Linked DNA regions of Elephas maximus indicus. The protein of the gene in region 1 purifies or fractionates together with the protein of each later gene. This does not show direct contact. Links are inferred from orthologs where the notes say so. Each region holds a gene or a part of one and is shown on either strand. Other genes may lie near its edges.

What was found.
Region 2: the proteins of YWHAE (region 1) and MAP3K21 purify together in Homo sapiens (affinity purification with mass spectrometry; 3 studies listed by BioGRID and IntAct, with this or other methods). This does not show direct contact. The link is inferred for Elephas maximus indicus from reciprocal best matches to the Homo sapiens genes YWHAE and MAP3K21.

Annotation. Positions count from the first base shown.
Region 1 is NC_064837.1:20,285,183-20,295,355, forward strand, and holds the start of YWHAE (14-3-3 protein epsilon), read left to right. Parts: upstream 1-5,050; 5' UTR 5,051-5,169; coding exon 5,170-5,233; intron 5,234-10,173. UniProt on the Homo sapiens protein: Adapter protein implicated in the regulation of a large spectrum of both general and specialized signaling pathways. Binds to a large number of partners, usually by recognition of a phosphoserine or phosphothreonine motif.
Region 2 is NC_064842.1:31,130,226-31,140,921, reverse strand, and holds the start of MAP3K21 (mitogen-activated protein kinase kinase kinase 21), read left to right. Parts: upstream 1-6,544; 5' UTR 6,545-6,872; coding exon 6,873-7,698; intron 7,699-10,696. UniProt on the Homo sapiens protein: Negative regulator of TLR4 signaling. Does not activate JNK1/MAPK8 pathway, p38/MAPK14, nor ERK2/MAPK1 pathways.

The DNA.
Region 1 (10,173 bases):
GACCTTTTGGTTAGAAGCTGAGCTCTGCACCATTGCTCCACCAGAGCCACTTTCTCCCAAATTATGCTGTACGGTCGCTACGAGTCGTAATCAACTGGACGGCAACTGGTTTGGTTTTGGGTTTTGAGTCAGAATCAACTCTACAGCAACGTCTTTTTTGGTATCTCTTCACTGCTATGCTTTTCAAGAGAGCTCTACACTTAACTGCTTTCATTTCCTCACCTTCTTTGGGTCTGAACCAAATGTAGTCTAGCTTCCAACACCCTTTCAAAACTGCTCTTGAAGGTCAATAATGACCTAATTGCTATATTTAATGGCTTTTCCTCAGTGCCAGTCTTACTTAATGTCTCTGCAGAATTTAATACTACTCACCACACCCTTGGAAACCCTGGTGGGTAGTGGTTAAGTGCTATGGCTGCTAACCAAAACGTTGGCAGTTCGAATCCACCAGGCGCTCCTTGGAAACTCTATGGGGCAGTTCTACTCTGTCTTATAGAGGCCATATGATTCAGAATTGACTCGATGGCAACAGGTTTGGTTTGGACCACCTCATTATTTTTGAAACTCTTCTCACTTGTTTTATGACACTAATGTCTCCTGATTCTCACTCAAACTTGAGCCACAGAAACATTAATAATACATAGTTAACATTCATTGAGTATCAGGCATCTTCCAGGTAACCGCCCACTTGATTCTCATTTGTATGAGGAAAATATCATTCCCATTTTATAGGTAAGAAAACTGAGGCTTAAAGAAGGTGAGTGACTTGCCTCCATTGCACACGCAATAAGTAGCCCTTGAACCCAAGGAATCCAAGAGCAGAGGCCATAGTCTTAATTGCTAGGACGTGTTCTACAGAGCTGGAAAAGGTCAGCAGATCCAGTTCCTTCACTTTACACATGAATTCGAAGCTCATAGAGGTGAAGTGACTTGCTGAAGGTCATACATTTATTCAGTCCTAGAATTTTTTTCTTTTTTTTAGAATTAGTACTTCCCCTCGTGTCTGTCAGTTTGTCGTACTGTGGGGGCTTGTGTGTTGCTGTGATGCTGGAAGCTATGCCGCCAGTATTCAGATACCAGCAGGGTCACCCATGGAGGACAGGTTTCAGCTGAGTTTCCAGACTAAGACGGGCTAGGAAGAAGGACCCGGCAGTCTACTTCTGAAAAGCATTAGCCAGTGAAAACCTCAGGAATAGCAGTGGAACACTGTCTGATATAGTGCAGGAAGATGAGCCCCCCAGGTTGTAAGGCACTCAAAAGATGAGTGGGGAAGAGCTGCCTCCTCAAAGTAGAGTCAACCTTAATGACGTGGATGGAGTAAAGCTTTCAGGACTTTCATTTGCTGATGTGGCACAACTCAAAATGAGAAGAAACAGCTGCAAACATCCATTAATAATCAGGACCTAAAATGTACGAAGTATGAATCTAGGAAAATTGGAAATAGTCAAAAATGAAATGGAACGCATGAACATCGATATCCTAGGCATAGAGAGATGAAATGGACTGGTATTGGCCATTTTGAATTGGACAATCATACAGTCTACTATGCTGGGAATGAAAACTCGAAGAGGAATGGTGTTGCATTCATCGTCAAAAAGAACGTTTCAAGATCTACCCTAAAGTACAACGCTGTCAGTGATAGGATAATATCCATATGCCTACAAGGAGGACCAGTTAATACGACTATTATTCAAATTTACCCACCAACCAGTAGGGCCAAAATGAAGAAATAGAAGATTTTTATCAGCTGCTGCAGTCTGAAATTGATCGAACATGCAATTAAGATGCATTGATAATTACTGGCGATTGCAATGGGAAAGTTGGAAACAAAGAAGGATCAGTAGTTGGAAAATATGGCCTTGGTGATAGAAACAATGCCGGAGATCGAATGATAGAATTTTGCAAGACCAACAACTTCATTGCAAATACCTTCTTTCACCAACATAAACAGCGACTATACACATGGACCTAGCCAGATGGAACACACAGAAATCAAATTGACTACATATGTGGAAAGAGACGATGGAAAAGTTCAATATCATCAGTCAGAACAAGGCCAGGGGCCAACTGGGGAACAGACCATTAATTGCTCATATGCAAGTTCAAGCTGAAACTGAAGAAAATCAGAGCAAGTCCACAAGAACCAAAATATGACCTTGAGTATATCCCACCTGAATTTAGAAACCATCTCAAGAATAGATTTGACGCACTGAACACTAGTGACCGAAGACCAGACGAGTTGTGGAATGACATCAAGGACATCATCCATGAAGAAAGCAAGAGGTCACTGAAAAGACAGGAAAGAAAGAAAAGACCAAGATGGATGTCAGAGGAGACTCTGAAACTTGCTCTTGAGTGTCAAGCAACTAAAGCAAAAGGAAGAATTGATGAAGTAAAAGACCTGAACAGAAGATTTCAAAGGGCCTCTCAAGAAGACAAAGTGAAGTAGTATAACGACATTTGCAAAGAGCTGGAGAAGGAAAACCAAAAGGGAAGAACATGCTTGGCGTTTCTCAAGCTGAAAGAACTGAAGAAAAAATTCAAGCCTCGAGTTGCAATAGTGGATTCCATGGGGAAAATATTAAACGACGCAGGAAGCATCAAAAGAAGATGGAAGGAATACACAGAGTCATTAGACCAAAAAGAATTAGTCGATACTCAACCATTTCAAGAGGTGGCATATGATCAGGAACCGATGGTACTGAAGGAAGATGTCCAAGCTGCTCTGAAGGCACTGGCAAAAAACAAGGCTCCAGGAATTGATGGAATATCAATTGAGATGTTTCAACAAACAGATGCAGCGCTGGAGGTGCTCACTCGTCTATGCCAAGAAATATGGAAGGCAGCTTCCTGGCCAACTGACTGGAAGAGATCCATATTTATGCCTATTCCCAAGAAAGGTGATCCAACCGGATGTGGAAATCATAGAACAATATCATTAATATCACACACAAGCAAAATTTTGCTGAAGATCATTCAAAAACGGCTGCAGCAGTATATTGACAGGGAACTGCCAGAAATTTCAGGCCTGTTTCAGAAGAGGACGTGGAACTAGAGATATCACGGCTGATGTCAAATGGATCCTGGCTGAAAGCAGAGAATACCAGAAGGATGTTTACCTGTGTTTTATTGACTATGCAAAGGCATTCAACTGTGTGGATCATAACAAACTATGGATAACACTGCGAAGAATGGGAATTCCAGAACACTTAATTGTGCTCATCAGGAACCTCTACATAGATCGAGGCAGTTGTTCTGACAGAACAAGGGGATACTGATTGGTTTAAAGTCAGGAAAGCTGTGTGTCAGAGTTGTATTCTTTCACCATACCTATTCAATCTGTATGCTGAGCAAATTATCCGAGAGGCTGGACTATATGAAGAAGAATGGGGCATCAAGATTGGAGGAAGACTCATTAACAACCTGTGTTATGCAGATGACACAACCTTGCTTGCTGAAAGTGAAGAGGACTTGATGCACTTACTAATGAAAATCAAAGACCACAGCCTTCAGTTTGGATTACACCTCAACATAAGGAAAACAAAAATCCTCACAACTGGACCAATGAGCAACATCATGATAAACGGAGAAAAGATTGAAGTTGTCAAGGATTTCATTTTACTTGGATCCACAATCAACAGCCACAGAAGCAGCAGTCAAGAAATCAAAAGACGCATTGCATTGGGTAAATTTCCTGCAAAGGACCTCTTCAAAGTGTTGAAGAGCAAAGATGTCACCCTGAAGACTAAGGTATGCCTGACCCAAGCCATGGTATTTTCAATCACATCATATGCATGTGAAAGCTGGACAATGAATAAGGAAGACCGAAGAAGAGTTGACGCCTTTGAATTGTGGTGTTGGGGAAGAATATTGAATATACCATGGACTGCCAAAAGAACAAACAAACCTGTCTTGGAAGAAGTGCGGCCAGAATGCTCCTTAGAGGCAAGGATGGCGAGACTGCATCTTACATACTTGGACATGTTGTCAGAAGGGATCAGTCCCTGGAGAAGGACATCATGCTTGGCAGAGTACAGGGTCAGCAGAAAAGAGGAAGACCCTCAACGAGGTGGATTGACAGGGTGGCTGCAGCAATGAGCTCAAGCATAACAAAGATTGTAAGAATGGCGCAGGACCGGGCAGTGTTTCGTTCTGTTGTGCATAGGGTAGCTATGAGTAGGAACGGACTCCAGGGCACCTAGTAACAACAACACAATTAGTACTAGAACCCAAGTCTTTTGAGCCTCAGTCTTTTATCATTGGAATTTGATAAATTAGGGTAAGAGTGTGAAGTGACATAATTTGGAATGCATAGGGAGCCACCCAGTCTCCTTCGCTGGCTCCTCTCTGCTTTCACTTACCTTAATGTAGGAATTCTCCAATGTTTTGTGTTTGGTCCTTTTCTAGCTCTATATGCACTCTCTAGGCACTTCCAAGCAGCGTGAGAATTGGAAGCCCTTCCGCCTATTGCCAACCAAACCAAACCCATTGCCGTCAAGTTGATTCTATCACATTTTCTCCCACAGAGCGGCTGGTGGATTCAAACTGCCTATCTTCCTGTTACCAGTCAAGTTCTGAACTACTGTGCCACCAGGGATCCTATGGCCAAACACAGCAGGGCCCAACTCTTTACACTGGGATTAAAGGAATCTCAAAAGCTCTGGGACGGAGCAATGTAGGAGTGGCAATGTAGGACAGGGCATATTTATTTCGGTGACAAAGGCCTGCAATGATCAAAACCATTATGGCCTCTCGTTTTCTTTGCCCGTAGTCCAGGCCTCGACTTGCTCGTGTCCCTCGGCTCCCTCGAGGTGCGGTCCAGGCCCATTTCGCCTCCCGACCCCCGCCTCCCTACATCCCCGCGGACCGTCCTCCCTCCCAGCAGTCAGCGTTCCCGCCTCTGCGCTCCAGCGCCTGCTGAGCCGACAGAGGTGTGCCGTCTCGAGGGTTCCAGCCTCTTCTGGCGGTGATCTCCAGGACCCGCCCCCCCGCGCCAGTTGCCAGGGAGCGGTTACCATAGAGCTGAGCAGTTGTCCGCGTGCGCAGGCGGAAGTCCCGGATTGAGGCGCCGCCATTTTTGCTGCCCGGACGCGGAGCGAGAGGCTGAGAGAGTCGGAGACGCTATCCGCTTCCATCCGTCGCGCAGACCCTGCTTGAGCCACCGCCGCTATGGATGATCGGGAGGATCTGGTGTACCAGGCGAAGCTGGCTGAGCAGGCTGAGCGATACGACGGTGAGTTGGTGGGGCAGCGGAGGGCTGGAATTCTCGGACCCTCTGCCGCCGCCCACTGAGGCCGGGAGGAGACAAAATGGCGGCATCGTCTCCGCGCCTGGCCCGGGGACGTGGATTCGGGAAGCAGGAAATGGCCTATGGGCTCCTGGAGCGATGGAAGGCTCCAGGCCCAGGAATTTGACCCCTTCGGCGTCCTCAGTTGTAGCCACTCGCGGACCGGGAGGCCGAGGCGATAGGGTGGAGGAGTTGATTGTAAAATGGCGGCTGGGGGAGGGCGAGTCTCGGGGCGGGGGAGGGGGAGGAGATCTCGGGTGCTGTCTCCGGACGTGCAGTCCCCAGGGGAGCTTTTGGGACAGTCTTGGGATGTGGAGAACAATTGGTTGGGGTGATGGGGGAAGAAACGCCCGCCACATGGGGGAGAGTGGAGACTGGGAGCTGTAGCGCTGGCGCCTTTGAGGGAAATATGGCGGGTGGGGGCGGTGGCTTTTCCCCGGAGGCCCAGTGTGGGGCGGCGGCTGTGGAGTCTCACAAAGGAGAACCTTTGCGAGTGGAGGGCTTCCTTGGGCTTGTGGTGGGGGGTGTAGTCCTGGATGAGAGTGAGAGTAGGGGGAGATGGGAATCACTGCAGTTCATCTTTGGGCGGAGACAAGCTGAGATGCTGCGATCGGATTTCTTCCCGTCGGCTGGCACACCTTGGAGGAGGGTTTTTTGGGCTTTACGATCTGCCTCGCCTTCTTGTTCTGGGGAGGTCCAGAAAAATCTCACTCATACTCTCTTTTTTCAGGCTTATCCCTCAGAGCTCGAAGTTTCCTGGTATCATTTGGCTCCAGAAACACTGGGTTTTAGTGGATAGGACATTAAACAGGAGGCGAGGAGATCATGACTGTCAGTTTTAGGTTTTGTAATGCCTGTGCCTCGATTTACCAGTTTGTAAAAATGATGGCTTCCCCGTTCTCACGAACGCACCGTTATGACAAATGGAAGGATCTTCTGTTGAACGAAATTATCTAAAATGATGTGTAGTAGCCGTATTTTGGTCGAGTCCCCAAGCTTGGAATGCGTGTTTTACTTTATTGGAAATCTTAACCTGATTCAGGCGCAGAACTGAGGCTTGAGTCTTTGAATTAGGCGATTCCAGGAGAGTCTGTATTTTCTTTTTTGCATATGAATTAAATGGTTTTATGCACAGTTTTGAACAGTTCCTCTTCTGTTTATTGCTTCTTTGTCCTGAAAGGTTCTTTAGTAATTTTTCAGAACTTTATCGAATGGCCGTTGTGTCTGTTCAGTTAGTCCCAGGCAGTTTCCTTTTCAACATAACTCCTCTTCCCACCCCTCCCCTTCACATACACCCACATATCACACATTGGACCTAGGTACTTGTTACCCGTACATCCATTAAATTGCACTGTATTAAAAACCAGCATTACGTGGTCTTACACAAATAGGTTATTTCTAATGTTTTTTTTTCGCGGGGGGGCGTGTGGCGGGGTGAGACGTGGTTGGAGTCAAATGCCTTGACCCATCTCGTAATTACTTAAGCTACTGATTTTTCGAAATTTTCTTCTCAAGTACTTAAGCCAGTTATTTTTTAAAATGTAAGGTAGGGCCCTTGGTTTCTTGAATAGCGTCAGGGCTAGTCCCCCTGTGTCATTAGAAATTAGAAATCAGGGATTTAAAAATTAGAGGGAGAAGGCCTCCAGAAGTCAAATTTAGGAAAGACACTGCACTGAATTTTTTCTTGTAAATCTTTAAGTTGTTATTGGTATTGAACGAGGTTCCTTTTGGAAGGGGGAGGGGTAATAAAACGGGAGAAGTACAGCTCAAGGTCAGTTTGTCTTTATTTCGGTGTTTAAAATTCAAACAAATGTAGGTGTACTTGTAACGGAGTTGTTTTTTCCCGCCTTGTGCCCCAGATCGGTTTCACCCTTAATCTACCAGTGCCCTTGCGAGGAAACTTAACATTATATTTGAATACTTTCGGTTGTATAGAGATTTAGGCTGTGAGTAAACTTGATGTGATAACAAAAAGAATGTGGAGGTTTTTTTTTTTTTTTTTGAAACGGATTGGGAAACTCATGATTGTAGTTTCCAAACAAATCATAGTTTAATGATAATTGTATTTTGGAGTTGAGTGCTGAGGATTTAAAAGCAAGATCTTTATTGGTTATTCAACATAGAATGCTTTTGATAGAGCCACATTATTACGTTGTTCAAATGTTAGATTTCCCTTTCAGAATCTAAAGGGGAGGGACATAGGACCTACAATGTGGAGAAGAACTATAGAGAACTCTGACAATTGGGAGCTTAAGAATCAGTGGAAAGGAAGAGGAGGAGGAAGGTGCAACAGGAGTAAGCCTGTCTTTACCTGTATCCACAGATGCATGTTGTTGTTGTTGGTTGTAGAGTTGGTTCTGACACATGATGGACCTCATGTGTGCAGAGTAGAATGATCCATAGGGTTTTCAAGTCTGTGACTTTTGAGAAGCAGAATGCTGGGCCTGTCTTCAAAGGAGCCTCTGGGTGGGTTTGAACTGCCAACCTTCAGCTAATAGTGCTTAAGTGTTTCTGCCACCCAGGGACTCTAGAGAGTCATAAAACCAAAACCAAACCCGCTGCCGTCGAGTTGATTTCGACTCATAGCAATCCTATAGTACAGAGTAGTACTGCTCCATAGGGTTTCCAAGGAGTGCCTGGTGGATTTGAACTGCTGACCTTTTGGTTAGCAGCTCTTAACCACTATCCCACCAGGCTTTCCCTTTAGAGGCTAAAAAACCAAAAACCAAACCCAGTGCCATCGAGTCGATTCCGACTCATAGCGACCCTATAGGACAGAGTAGAACTGCCCCATAGTTTCCAAGGAGCGCCTGGCGGATTCGAACTGTTGACCCTTTGGTTAGCAGCCGTAGCACTTAACCCCACTACACCACCAGGGTTTCCTGTAGCGCCATAGGTTTCCTTTATTGAGTGCAGTGAATTCAGTTTTGTGTCTGGTAACAAAAAATGATCCCATAGTCCTGGTCACCAAACAAAGTTTACTACCAGGTGTGGGGAGTAGGAAAAGATGAGGATGCATTTGAGTGATTTGTTTTCTGGGTACTTGGATATAAATGTTGGTTTCCCAATAGTCCGTGCTTTTCTCCTCGTTTCTGTATTTTGCATGCTGTGTTGAGTTTAATGCCTAAACTCCTTTTTAGCCTTACTTACCTATCCTGGGAGATTGGAATCAATTTATATATATATATATATTTTTTTTTTTAACGATACTAGAGGAGGAGCTAAGCTTTGTACAGGAAAAGGACAATTTCGGGTTGCGGTTAGAAAATATTGAAGTTTGGGGCCAATAAGATTGTTCACCTTGGAGATCAAATCCCCCATCCCGTCACTTTAACAAGTCAGTAGCTTAAGGAATAAACTACTGGTGCAATGCTGGACTGGTAGGCTAAAGGCTTGGTAGCCTGCTTCCATTAGGATTACAGCCAAGAAAAAGAAATAGAGCAGTTCTACTCTATAACACATGGGGTCACCATGAATCAGAATCCACTTGATGGCAACAGTCTTAAGGAATAGGTTTTTATCTTAGTAGTAGTAATGTTAAGCAAGTTGATCCATCTCTCAGCATTCCTGAACCAAGTCTTACCTTTTGTGTATATGAACCATGTTAAAGAAAAGTGGAGAATATTAGAAAGGAAAAAAGAATGAGTACTTTTCCCATTTTGGGGAGTAGAGGGGTCAGCATAAATTACTTTTGGGCTTGTGGGGTACTTGATGGTTTTGTTCCTTCCTTTTCTCCACTCCCTGTGAAAATTGGCTCCATGGGAAGTAGGGGTAAAGTTTTGATGATCACTTTTGGTTCACTTGGATGCATGAATGTGTCAGTTCCAGGAATGCATCTGTTCTGAGACTGTTCAGTAAAAGCTGTCATTTTCAAACATCAGAGCCCCACTTCCAGCTTATTCTGATTGAATGGTGGGGGCATGTTTTGAATTAACTCCTTAATACATATCTTGTTGGGAAAAAGTGAGTAATAGTAGATTAACTTTAATAATGAGTTTAAAAATATTAAGAATAAACACCAAATCTTTGTTAATTCTTATGTTGCTATTTCAGCTAGTAGACTAGCTTTGTTGAACAAATTTTATTTTTCTCCTGCTTAACTAAGTACACAGAATTGGGTAATGACATTTTAAAAAGAGCTTTAAAAAATCAAGTTTTAGCCTAGGTATTAAATTAGATGTTCTTCTGTGTGCACGTCAGACTTGTACACAGTATTGTGTACATTGAACATGTTTCATTCTGGTTTGTGTTATAAAATTATGGAATAAAATGAAATAACTGCAATTGGGGGTATTGGGTAAATTCTTACTACTGTGAGCATTCTTTGGCACCTTTTTCACCTGTGACAAAGGTCTCAGTTTGAACTCTGCTATGGGGAAGAGTACTTATGACAGGTATTAAGCTGAGCAAATTTTGGGTTTAGTAAATACAAGCAAGCACATTGAAAGTCTGTACAAACAAGCTGGCTTTTCATAATTGTTTTGTAGCTTGGTCAAGGGCTTATAAAATACCTTTAAATGTCCTGGTTTTAATCTGGTATAGCAATCCAAATTTCAGCCCAGTAAATTAATGTATCTAACTTTACAAGTGAGTTTTAAATACTTTAAGAAGCTGATCTGACTTAAAAGGAGAGCTGTAAGCAGATTTTGCAGGAATTTTTTACCTTATATCTCAGAAAACAGAGTGTATGTGTAGGTTGAGTTTTTAAATTATGCATTATGTAATGCCACATTTATATAGTGCTTCACAGTTCCCAGTACACTTTCACAGAAATTTTTATTTCATGTAACAACATTGAAGTAGAGTGTTACATTCATTTTATGGTTCAGGAAAGTAAATTTGGAAAGATAAAATAATTTGTTTTCCTCTATGATCACTTGACTGGT
Region 2 (10,696 bases), on another chromosome or scaffold:
GAATTGACATTTCCACAATATTAAGTCTTTTTATCTATGAGCAAGGTATTTTTTTCCACTTATGTAGGTCTCTTATGGTTTCTTGCAGTAGTGTCTTACAGTTTTCTTTGTATCATATGGGTCTTTTACGTCTCTGGTTAGATTTATTCCTAAGTATTTTATCTTCTTGGGGACTATTTTAAATGGTATTGATCTGGTGATTTCCTCTTTGATAGTCTCTTTGTTGGTGTGGAGGAATCTAACTGATATTTGTAGGTTTATCTTGTATCCTAATACTTTGCTGAACTCTTCTATCAGATTCAGTAGTTTTCTTGTGAATTCTTTGGGGTTTTCTGTATATAAGATCATATCATCTGCAAACAGGGATACTTCTACTTCATCCTTATCAATTTGGATACCCTTTATTTCTTTTTCTTGCCTAAGTGCTCTGGCTAGGACCTCCAGCACAGTATTGAATAAGAGTGGTGATAAAGGGAATCCTCGTTTGGTTCCTGATCTCAAAGGGAATGCTTTTTTTTTTTTTGGCTGTTGTGTTGGCTTTCTATCAATGCCCTTTATTATGTTGAGGGATTTCCTTTCTATTCCTATTTTGCTGAGATTTTTCATGGTGAATAGGTGTTGGATTTTGTCAAATGCCTTTTCTCCATCAATTGATAAGATCATGTGGTTCTTGTCTTTTGTTTTATTTACGTGATGGATTACATTGATTGTTTTTCTAATGTTGAACCATCCCTGCATACCTAGTATGAATCCCACTTGGTCATGGTGAATTATTTTTTTGATATTTTGTTAAATTCTATTGGCTAGAATTTTATTGAGGATTTTTGTGTCTATGTTCATGTGGGATATTGGTCTGTAATTTTTTTTTTTTCTTTGTGGTGTCTTTACCTGGTTTTGGGGTCAGCGTTATGCTGGCTTCATAGAATGAGTTTGGGAGTATTCCATCTTTTTTTAATGCTCTGAAATACCTCTAGTAGTAGTGGTGTTAACTCTTTTCTGAAAGTTTGGTAGAATTTTCCAGTGAAGCTGTCAGGGCCAGGGCTTCTTTTTTGTTGGGAGTTTTTTTAATTACCTCTTCAATATCTTCTATTGTTTTAGGTTTATTTAATTGTTCTACCTCTGTTTGTGTTAGTTTAGATAGGTAGTGTGTTTCTAGAAATTTGTCCATTTCCGCTAGGTTTTCAAATTTGTTGGAGTACAATTTTTCATGGTATTCTGTTATGATTCTTTTAATTTCACTTGGGTCTGTTGTGATATCACCCATCTCATTTCTTACTTGGGTTATTGCTTCCTCTCCTATTTTTCTTTTTTCAGTTTGGCCAATGATTTATTGATTTTGTCGATCTTTTCAAAGAACAAGCTTTTGGTCTTGTTAATGTTTTCAATTTTTTTTTTTTTTAATTCTCTATTTCATTTAATTCAGGTCTAATTTTTATTATTTGCTTTCTTCCGATACCTGAGGGTTTCTTTTGTTGCTCTCTTTCTATTTGTTCAAGTTGTAGGGTTAATGTTTTAACTTTGGCCTTTTCTTCTTTTGGGATGTGTGCGTTTATTGCTATATATTGACCTCTGAGCACTGCTTTTGTTGTGTTATAAAGGTTCTGGTAGGATGTATTTTCATTCTCATTTGATTCTGTGAATTTCTGTATTCCAATCTTAGTTTCTTCCATAATCCAGGAGTTTTTGAGCAAGGTTTTGTTCAGTTTTCAGGTATTTAATTTTTTTCCCTTGCTTTTTCTGTTACTGATTTCTACTTTTACGGCTTTATGGTCAGAAAAGATGCTTTGTAATATTTCAATGTTTTGGATTCTGTTAAGTCTTGCTTTGTGGCCTAATATGTGGTTTATTCTGGAGAATGTTTCATGTGTGCTGGAAAATATCCTTGGCTGCTGTTGTGTAGAGTGTTCTGTATATGCCTATGAGATCAAATTTGTTGATTATGGCGCATAGATCTTCCGTATCTTTATTGAGCTTCTTTCTGGATGCTCTGTCCTTCACTGAAAAGTGGTGTGTTGACATCTCCTGTTTTTATTGTGGAGCTTTTTCTCTTCTTGGAAACCCCGGTGGCATAGTGATTAAGTGCTATGGCTTCAGTTCGAATCCACCAGGCGCTCCTTGGAAACTCTATGGGGCAGTTCTACTCTGTCCTATAGGGTCACTATGAGTCAGAATCGACTCGATGGCACTTGGTTTCTGGGTTTATTTCTCTTCTCAGTGCTGTTAGAGTTTCTTTCATGTGTTTTGGAACCCTGTTATTGGGTGTGTAAATATTTATTATGGTTATGTCCTCCTGGCGTATTGACCCTTTTATCATTATGTAGTGTCCTTCCTTATCCTTTATGGTGGATTTTGTTTTAAAGCCTATTTTGTCAGAGATTAATATTGCCACTCCTGCTCTTTTTTGATTGTTGTTTGCTTGATATATTTTTTCCCCACCTTTGAGTTTTAGTTTGTTTGTGTCTTTGGGTCTAAGATGTGTCTCTTGTAGACAGCATATAGATGGATCGTGTTTTTTAATCCATTCTGCCACTCTCTGTCTCTTTATTGGTGCATTTAGTCCACTTACATTCAGTGTAATTATTGATAGGTATGAGTTTAGTGCTGTCATTCTAATATTGTTTTTGTGTGTGTGTTGTTGACAGTTTCTTTGTTCCACTTAATTTTCTGTGCTGAATCATTTTTCTTAATGTTTCTTAATGTATACCCCTTTCATCTTTTTCATTGTAGTTAATTTTGCATTTGGTTTTGGTTTTATGTTTTTCTTGTTTTTTATTTTGGATGTGTAGGATTGTTAGTTTCCTTTGTGTTTACCTTAATATTTACCCCTATTTTTGTATGTTTAAATCAATTTTTTATTTCTTGATATTGCCTTGACTTCCTCTCCATATAAAAATTCTATGCCTATATTATTTAATCCCTCTTTTTTGTTTTAATGTTGTCATCTTTTACATACTGACATCTCTGTTTCCCTATTTTCAAAGTTTTAGCTTTGATTTATTTTTGTGACTTCCCTGCCTGGGTTGATATCTGCCTGTTTGAGCCCGTGTTCTAGACTTGGGTTGTAATCCGATTTTATTGATTTTATAACTGGAGGGCTCCCTTTAGTATTTCTTGTAATTTTGGTTGGTTTTTAACAAATTCTCTAAACTTCTGTTTATCAGGAAATGACCTAACTTTGCCATCATATTTAAGAGACTGTTTTGCTGGATACATAATTCTTGGCTGGCAATTTTTTTTCTTCAAGGCTTTATATATGTCATTCCATTGCCTTCTTGCCTGCATGCTTTCTGCTAAATAGTCAGAGATTAGTCTTATTGAGTCTCCTTTGTAGGTGACTTTTCATTTTCTCTAGCTGTTCTTAAAATTCTCTCTTTATCTTTGATTTTGGCAAGTTTGATTATAATATGTCTTGATGACATTCTTTTGGGATCTACCCTATGTGGGTTCGATGAGCTTCTGTTGACTATTTTTTTACTTAAATAAATTGAGTATAAAACTTATTTCCATTACTTTGAACAGAAAATTCCTATCACTTGTCATAAAACAGAAGGCAACCATAAATAGAAATATTAGAAATAGAAAAACAAATAGAATTTCTGGTCTACCAAAGGGGCCAAGCTAAGGACCTTCCTTCTATCTTTATTAAAAAGGGATATTAATAACACAGCCAACACTTACTGAAAACTTACTAAGTGCCAAGCATCTTTCAAGTCCTTTATGTAGTAACTCATTTAGTCTTCCCAACATCTCCATGAGATGTTGTTGTTGTTAGTTGCTGTCAAGTTGGTTTCAACTGAAGATGACCCTATCTACAACATAATGAAACATTGCCTGGTCCTGTGCCATCATGTTTGTGGGTACATTTTAAGTTCATCATTGCAGCCATTGTATCAATCCATCTCGTCGAGGGTTTCTCTCATTTTTGTTGACTATTTTACTGAACATGATGTCTTATTTTTCTAGTGATTGGTCTTTCCTGATGATATGTCCAAAGTAAGGGAGTCAAAGTCTTGCCATCCTCACTTCTAAGGAACATTTCGATTCTATTTCCTCTAAGACTGACCTGTTGTCAATTTGTCCTAATGTGGTGGCTTGGGTGTTGCTGTGACACTGGAAGCTATGCCACCAGCATTTCAAACACCAGCAGAGTCACCCATGGTAGAGAGGTTTCATTGGAGCCTCCAGACTAAGACAGACTAGGAAGAAAGGCCTGATGATCTACTAAAACAACTCTACGAGATACTCTACAAGATAGGTACTGTTTATTATTATTTCCATTTTACAGATGAGGATATTGAGCCACAAGAGATATGGTATCTTGCTCAAGTTCATAAAGCCAATAAATGGCATGAGCAGGATTGAAAGAAAACCGAAAAGGCAATGAATTTCTCATTATATGAGTCAATATTATTATATGTCCTGTTCTCATTACTCCTAAAATAATCTCTCCTGTCACCCACACTTCAGGAGTGTCTAGCATGCTATAGGATGCTCTTTATAATTTTTATAACTTGACTCTTTTCTATCTTTCTAGCCTCATCCTCTGCCACAGGAACCTGTCATCCTCTTGCCATTGCCTGAGGCCACTATTTACTGTATTTTCATTCTGTCTGCCTGGAATGTCCTTCTTCCCTTGCCCTGTTAATTCTAATCATACTCAGTTCAAATGATGAATCACAAAGCAGTCCCCAGCCACCCCAGTTGTAATTAATTGCTCCTTCACCTTTTTTTTTTTTCACCTTAAGTCCAGACAAGTTGGTTTGTTCTTTTGTTGTGGACCTTTATTCTTTCTTGTCATCTCTAGAGCAGAAGCCTTGCTCATTTGTCCCTGTATCTGCCATTCCTTAGCATAGTGTCTTACACAGAGTAAGTGCTCAGTAAACAGTCAGTAGTTACTTTAAATTTATACTTGGAGAGTTTCTTCCCACATCTCCATCAGTATAGAGAGTAAATGGGGGTAGGATGGGGTTAAGAGGATGGAGAAGGGAAAGCCCCTGTGAGTCTAGGCCTGGGAAAAGTAGAAAACCCAGGAGAGAAAGAGGCACCACACTGCTACCTTTTCAGCTGCAGAGGAAGAGAAGACTGGCTACATCTAACATCTAACAGTAGCAATCTTTTTCATGAGAACTAATTATTTTATTCCTTTTAATAACCCTTCTCATCAGTAAATTCTCAAAAAAAAATTTTTAAAACAAATGCATTCGTTAACAAACTACAGAGTAGGAATGCATGTTCCTATGAGAAAATTCCAAAATTCCTCCCTGTTCTTAGACCAGAAAGAGTTCCTAGCTCCAAATATAAAACTTTTATTCTCTAAATCTGTTAGAAAGCTATACAGGGCAAATAGAGGGAGGTGAGGCCTATCAATCAAGAGAAGCAGCAGTTCTGCTTCCCTGAATGTTTAGGTACACACTTTGTATGCTCTTTATTTATCCCACATGATAGAACACCAAGTAAACACCCTTAATGCATACTCAGGAGTCCCTGCGTGGTGTTAACTATGCGTGGCTGCTAACTGAAAGGTTGGAGGTTTGAGTCCACCCAAAGGCACCTGGAGATCCACTCCCAAAAAACCAGCGACTGAAAACCCTATGGAGCAGCTCTACTCTGACGCACATGGGGTTGTCATGAGTCAGCAAAGACTCTATGGCACTGGTTTAATGAATAGTCAGCACACCATTGAGGACTTGAGTTTCTGTGTATAACGACTCTATTACCTTATTTACCTTTTCTGGGAGAGAATGAAGCCCACCTCCGGGGGGGAAACAAGCCTTAAGAGGTCAGGGCCTCTAGCAGCCAGTCTTTTCCTATGTCTGATCAACCCAAACTGGTGGGTTCACGGGCTCAGGGGCTCCTTTTTCCATTTGAGGAGGCAGTAATGCAAACAAAGAATTAAAGGTTATGATGAAGGGACTTGCGGGGGTGTACAGACCTATAGCTCGCTCTGTACTGTCACCCGCACCCTACTCCCTGTGAAATGCACTTTGATTTCAAATACACCAGGCCTGGTGATGTGGCAACTGCCCCGTCCCAGGTTTGGGACCACTCTCCGACCTATTCAGAGATGTCCTGTCACTCCCTCCGCGCTACAATTCACTCCCTTCCTTCACACCTTAAAGCACCGGATCTTGGATCCTTAAAGCTCTCTAGCCTCTGCCCGTCCATGGGTCAGAATGAACTCTGCTGCAACCAACCACCACCACCACCCTGTACTTAATTTACAATTTTCCGAAAACTTCTCTTCCCTCTGGACCAGACGCCCCGGCTCGCTCCCTCGCCCCGGCTCGCTCCCTCGCCCCGGCTCGCTCCCTCGCCCCGGCTCGCTCCCTCGCCCCGGCTCGCTCCCTCGCCCCGGCTCGCTCCCTCGCCCCGGCTCGCTCCCTCGCCCCGGCTCGCTCCCTCGCCCCGGCTCGCTCCCTCCCTCGGTCACGTGGCTCGGCGTGCCAATGCCCGCGAGCCCCGACGTCTGGGGCGCGGCGGGGCGGCAGGGGCGCGGCAGGCCCGGAGAGGGGCGGGGCGGCGGGCAGGGCGCGCCGGCGGGGGCGGTGCCGAGGGCGGAGGGCGGCCCGCGCTCTCAGGCCGGCGGAGGACCCGTGAGCCACCATGGAGCGCCCGCGCCCGCGCCCGCGGGTGCAGCTGCATCAGCAAGAGCCACTGAGGAAGAGCTGGGCTGAGGCGGGGGCCTCCGGGTAGCGGACCCAGCGGCCCTGTAACCCTCCTCTCCCCATCCCCGGACCCCCGGACTCCCTCCTCGTGGCCGGCTCCGGGGGCGTGGGCACCGCGACTCCGCCGGACGATGCGCCCGCCGGGCCGCCCCGGAGGCTGAGCCCGCAGCCCTGCGACCCTGTCCTCCTCCTCTGGACCACCCCTCCATGGCCTTCCCGGGCGCCGCGGGGGCGGCCGACAGGCCCGCGTCCCCGGCGCTGGGGGCTCCCGCGGCCGCCGGCTCCTCGTCGTCGTCCTCAGCCTCCTCCAGCGGCTCGTGCTCCGCGGCGGGCGCCGGGCGCCTGTGGGCCGCGCTCTACGACTACGAGGCGAGCGGCGAGGACGAGCTGAGCCTGCGGCGCGGCCAGCTGGTGGAGGTGCTGTCCCAGGACGCCGCCGTGTCGGGCGACGAGGGCTGGTGGGCCGGCCAGGTGCAGCGGCGCCTCGGCATCTTCCCCGCCAACTACGTGGCGCCCTGCCGCCCGGGCGCCTGCCCGCCGCCGCCGCCTCCCGCCCCGCCGCCGCCACCGCGGCCCGGCTCGCCGGTGCACATCGAGTTCGAGCGGCTGGAGCTGAAGGAGCTGATCGGCGCCGGCGGTTTCGGGCAGGTGTTCCGGGCCACCTGGCAGGGACAGGAGGTGGCGGTGAAGGCGGCGCGGCGCGACCCGGAGCAGGACGCGGCGGCGGCGGCCGAGAGCGTGCGGCGCGAGGCGAAGCTCTTCTCCATGCTGCAGCACCCCAACATCATCCAGCTGCGCGGCGTCTGCCTGCGGCAGCCCAACCTCTGTCTGGTGCTCGAGTTCGCCCGCGGCGGAGCGCTCAACCGCGCCTTGGCTGCCGCCGCAGACTCGCGCGCCCCCGGCCCGCGCCGCGCGCGTCGCATCCCCCCGCACGTCCTGGTCAACTGGGCGGTGCAGATCGCGCGGGGCATGCTCTACCTGCACGAGGAGGCCATAGTGCCCATACTGCACCGGGACCTCAAGTCCAGCAACAGTAAGTGGGAAACAGTGGCGGGCAGTCCTGGGGGTGAGGAGAGAAGTTGGGGAGGGCACTGCTAGCTCCAACCCAGTGCCCTGGAACAGCGCCGGGCAGGCAGCCCACCCCATGCATCCCAGGGTGGACCCTCCGGAATAGGGCGCCAGGTGGAAAGGGGCGGGGACCAGCTCTCACTGGGCCTGGAGCAGCCTTCCGGGGTTCAAAGTTCCAGCTAGACCTTGGCGACTTGCTTTGAGGCCGATAACACACTTAGTTTGACTTGTTGCTTTTGGGCGCTTTTTGAAAAATGTGGATCAGATTTGCATGTAGACGAAGCAGTTGAAACCTGTATCTCCTGAAAACCTTACGGGGAGATTTGGCCTTTAGGTACAATAGGTGGTTCATTTGGGTAGGACTTTGTAGACAGGCCTTCCTGAATTCCTTCCTTGAGGAACCCATGGCCCCCTTTCCTGCGTAATGGCTTTCACCCAATTTCCTCTTTCCTTCAGATTTACAAGTGCTGTATCGAGGTTGCCATTCTCCCACTTGAATATGGCTTTGTGTTCTTGAACTTCTATAGATTTTTCATTCAGACATCTCTGCAAATGAAGTGTGATTTTATTATTGGTTCCGTGGCTTGAGTGTTGGTGAACAGCCTGTAGTCAAGAAACACCAGCTTGTGTTATACGCTTGTGGGTTTATTGAGAGCGAGTGTATTGTCCTGGCACAGACACTTGACATCCTCAAGACCTGGCCTGTATCATTTAGTGTGTTTATAAATAAGGTTGAATTTTCCAGATGTCCGTGAATAACTGACATGACTTAAATACAAATCGTATTAAATTTTCACTGTACAAAAGAGCTAATAGAATTGCTGTTTGAAGTTAGTTCTTTAATATGGAAGCTCACTCCATGTGATAGTCTTAGAATAAAGTGAAATCCCATGACAGATTGAATGTTGCAGCCAGAACTGGTCGTGGCCTACTACAGCAGGATGGCTTTTAACCTTGTAAAACCTGCTAGGACAGGTGCTAATGCAAACTGAAACAGTGTCCTTCCTCCCTAAGTCGACTAGAGGCAGCTTCAGGGACAAGAATAAATGATGTATTTGTCATATGTTTTGTGAATTTTTTTTTCTTTTCAAAAATCCTTCAGTCCTGGAAAGTTTTTGAACACGAATAATGTAGTATCTTTATTTGGAAATTATAAATAATTTGGGTATTGATAGGTACTTATAGGAGCCCGGTGGCGCAGCTGTTAAGAGCTGAGCTGCTAACCAAAAGGTTGGCAGTTCGAATCCACCAACTGCTCCTTGGAAACCCTGTGGGGCAGTTCTGCTCTGTCCTTATAGGGTCGCTATGCGTTGGAATCAACTGGATGGCAACCGGTTTGGGTTTTAGGTACTTATAAGCATTTAATACTTTTAGGTTTTATTTTATGACAGTTCCCCTCCCCCCAAGTCTCTTATTATTTAAAATTGCAACTGCTGAAGTGACAGGAGCAAAATCTAACAAAATACTGTATAGAAAAGTGGTAGTGGTAGTGGTGTGTTCTTGGAGCTTCTGACAGGGGCCAGATAAATGACTCTAGAATTAAAGTAGCACAGTTTTCAATGTACTTTTTTTTTTGGTGAATGCTTCAAACCTGACACAGTCTGCCTTGCTAATTTGTACTGATTCCCTAAAAATACCTTTACTGAAAGAAATGTTTAACCTGCTGCCATAGGTGGTGCAGTGGTCTAAGCATTTGGCTGCCAGCCAAAAGATCGATAGTTTGAATCCACCAGCCGCTTCTTAGAAACCCTACGGAGCAGATTTGTTCTGTCCTGTAGGGTCGCTTTGAGTTAGAATCGACTCAATGACAATGGGTTCAGTTTGGTTTGGTTTATAGAATAGTGGCGTTCCATAAGCCTGGGTGTCCTGTCGGCCCTCTCCCCTGAAATGCTCACAAGCCTGTGTCTGCTGGGAGTTTTCTGAAGAACCAGGCATTCTAGGGACAGCAGTACCATCATTCCCTCATCTGTCCCTTGGCCCTTGCAGCAGGTCTGGGATAACGTGGCACCAGGTATTCCACAAACTTACTCCGTTGCAGAACATCACATCAGCGACACAGGTAAACAGTTCAGGTTAGATGGATCAGTAGACCCAAAAAAGGTAAAGGACCTATAAACTTTTTTTTTTGCATTTTGCGGTTTTGTTTGGTTGTAATATTACTTCACGTCTATAGGATGGGTGGGTGAAGTGGAGCATGCTTGCTACTAGGGCAGGCATGGGAGGGGAGGTTAACCCGTGTCCTTGTTGTTGCAAGTAGTAAACTTTTTAATATAAAATAAAAACTTTTAAGGAACTCCTAAAACTGTGAAATAGTAAGAACAAATAATCTGACCCTGGAGTAATAAAAAAAATACCTACGGTTAAATAGTTTTTATTGACACCAGAAAAACTTGGAGCACCACGTATATGGTAGATATTATGCAATTTGAAGGTAATTATATGTTGTAACTTAGTTTTTGAAAGACCTTTTCTCTCTGAGAATAAACTGACAGATTTCATGGAGCATTGTAATCTCTGTAGTTGTCAGGTAAGGCTCCCTTTGCTTTAAATTGTTGACCTTTTAAGAAGTGCCTAGCCAGATATTTGTTAACTGTGATCCTCATTGTAGCTATTGCTATAAAATTACTATAAAATGAAAATTTTGCATAGGGCCTAAAATGGGCAAATCACAGTGCCTAGCACCTTTTTTTTTTTCTGTTTTTATTTGTTAATGAATGCAGGTACTGTGGAATTCTGTTATGATACGAAGCTATAACTTCTTGTTCAGACTTTGAGTAGAGCAGACAGTCTATCACAGTGTGATTTGTTTGATTTTATTGGTTATTTGTTCAGACTTTGAGTAGAGCAGACAGTCTATTACAGTGTGGTTTGTTTGACTTTATTGGTTATTTGCTACTGATGGTGGTGAGTTGATAATGTAAACAAGGTTGTAAAAATCAATATTGGATTTTATTTTGATTTTG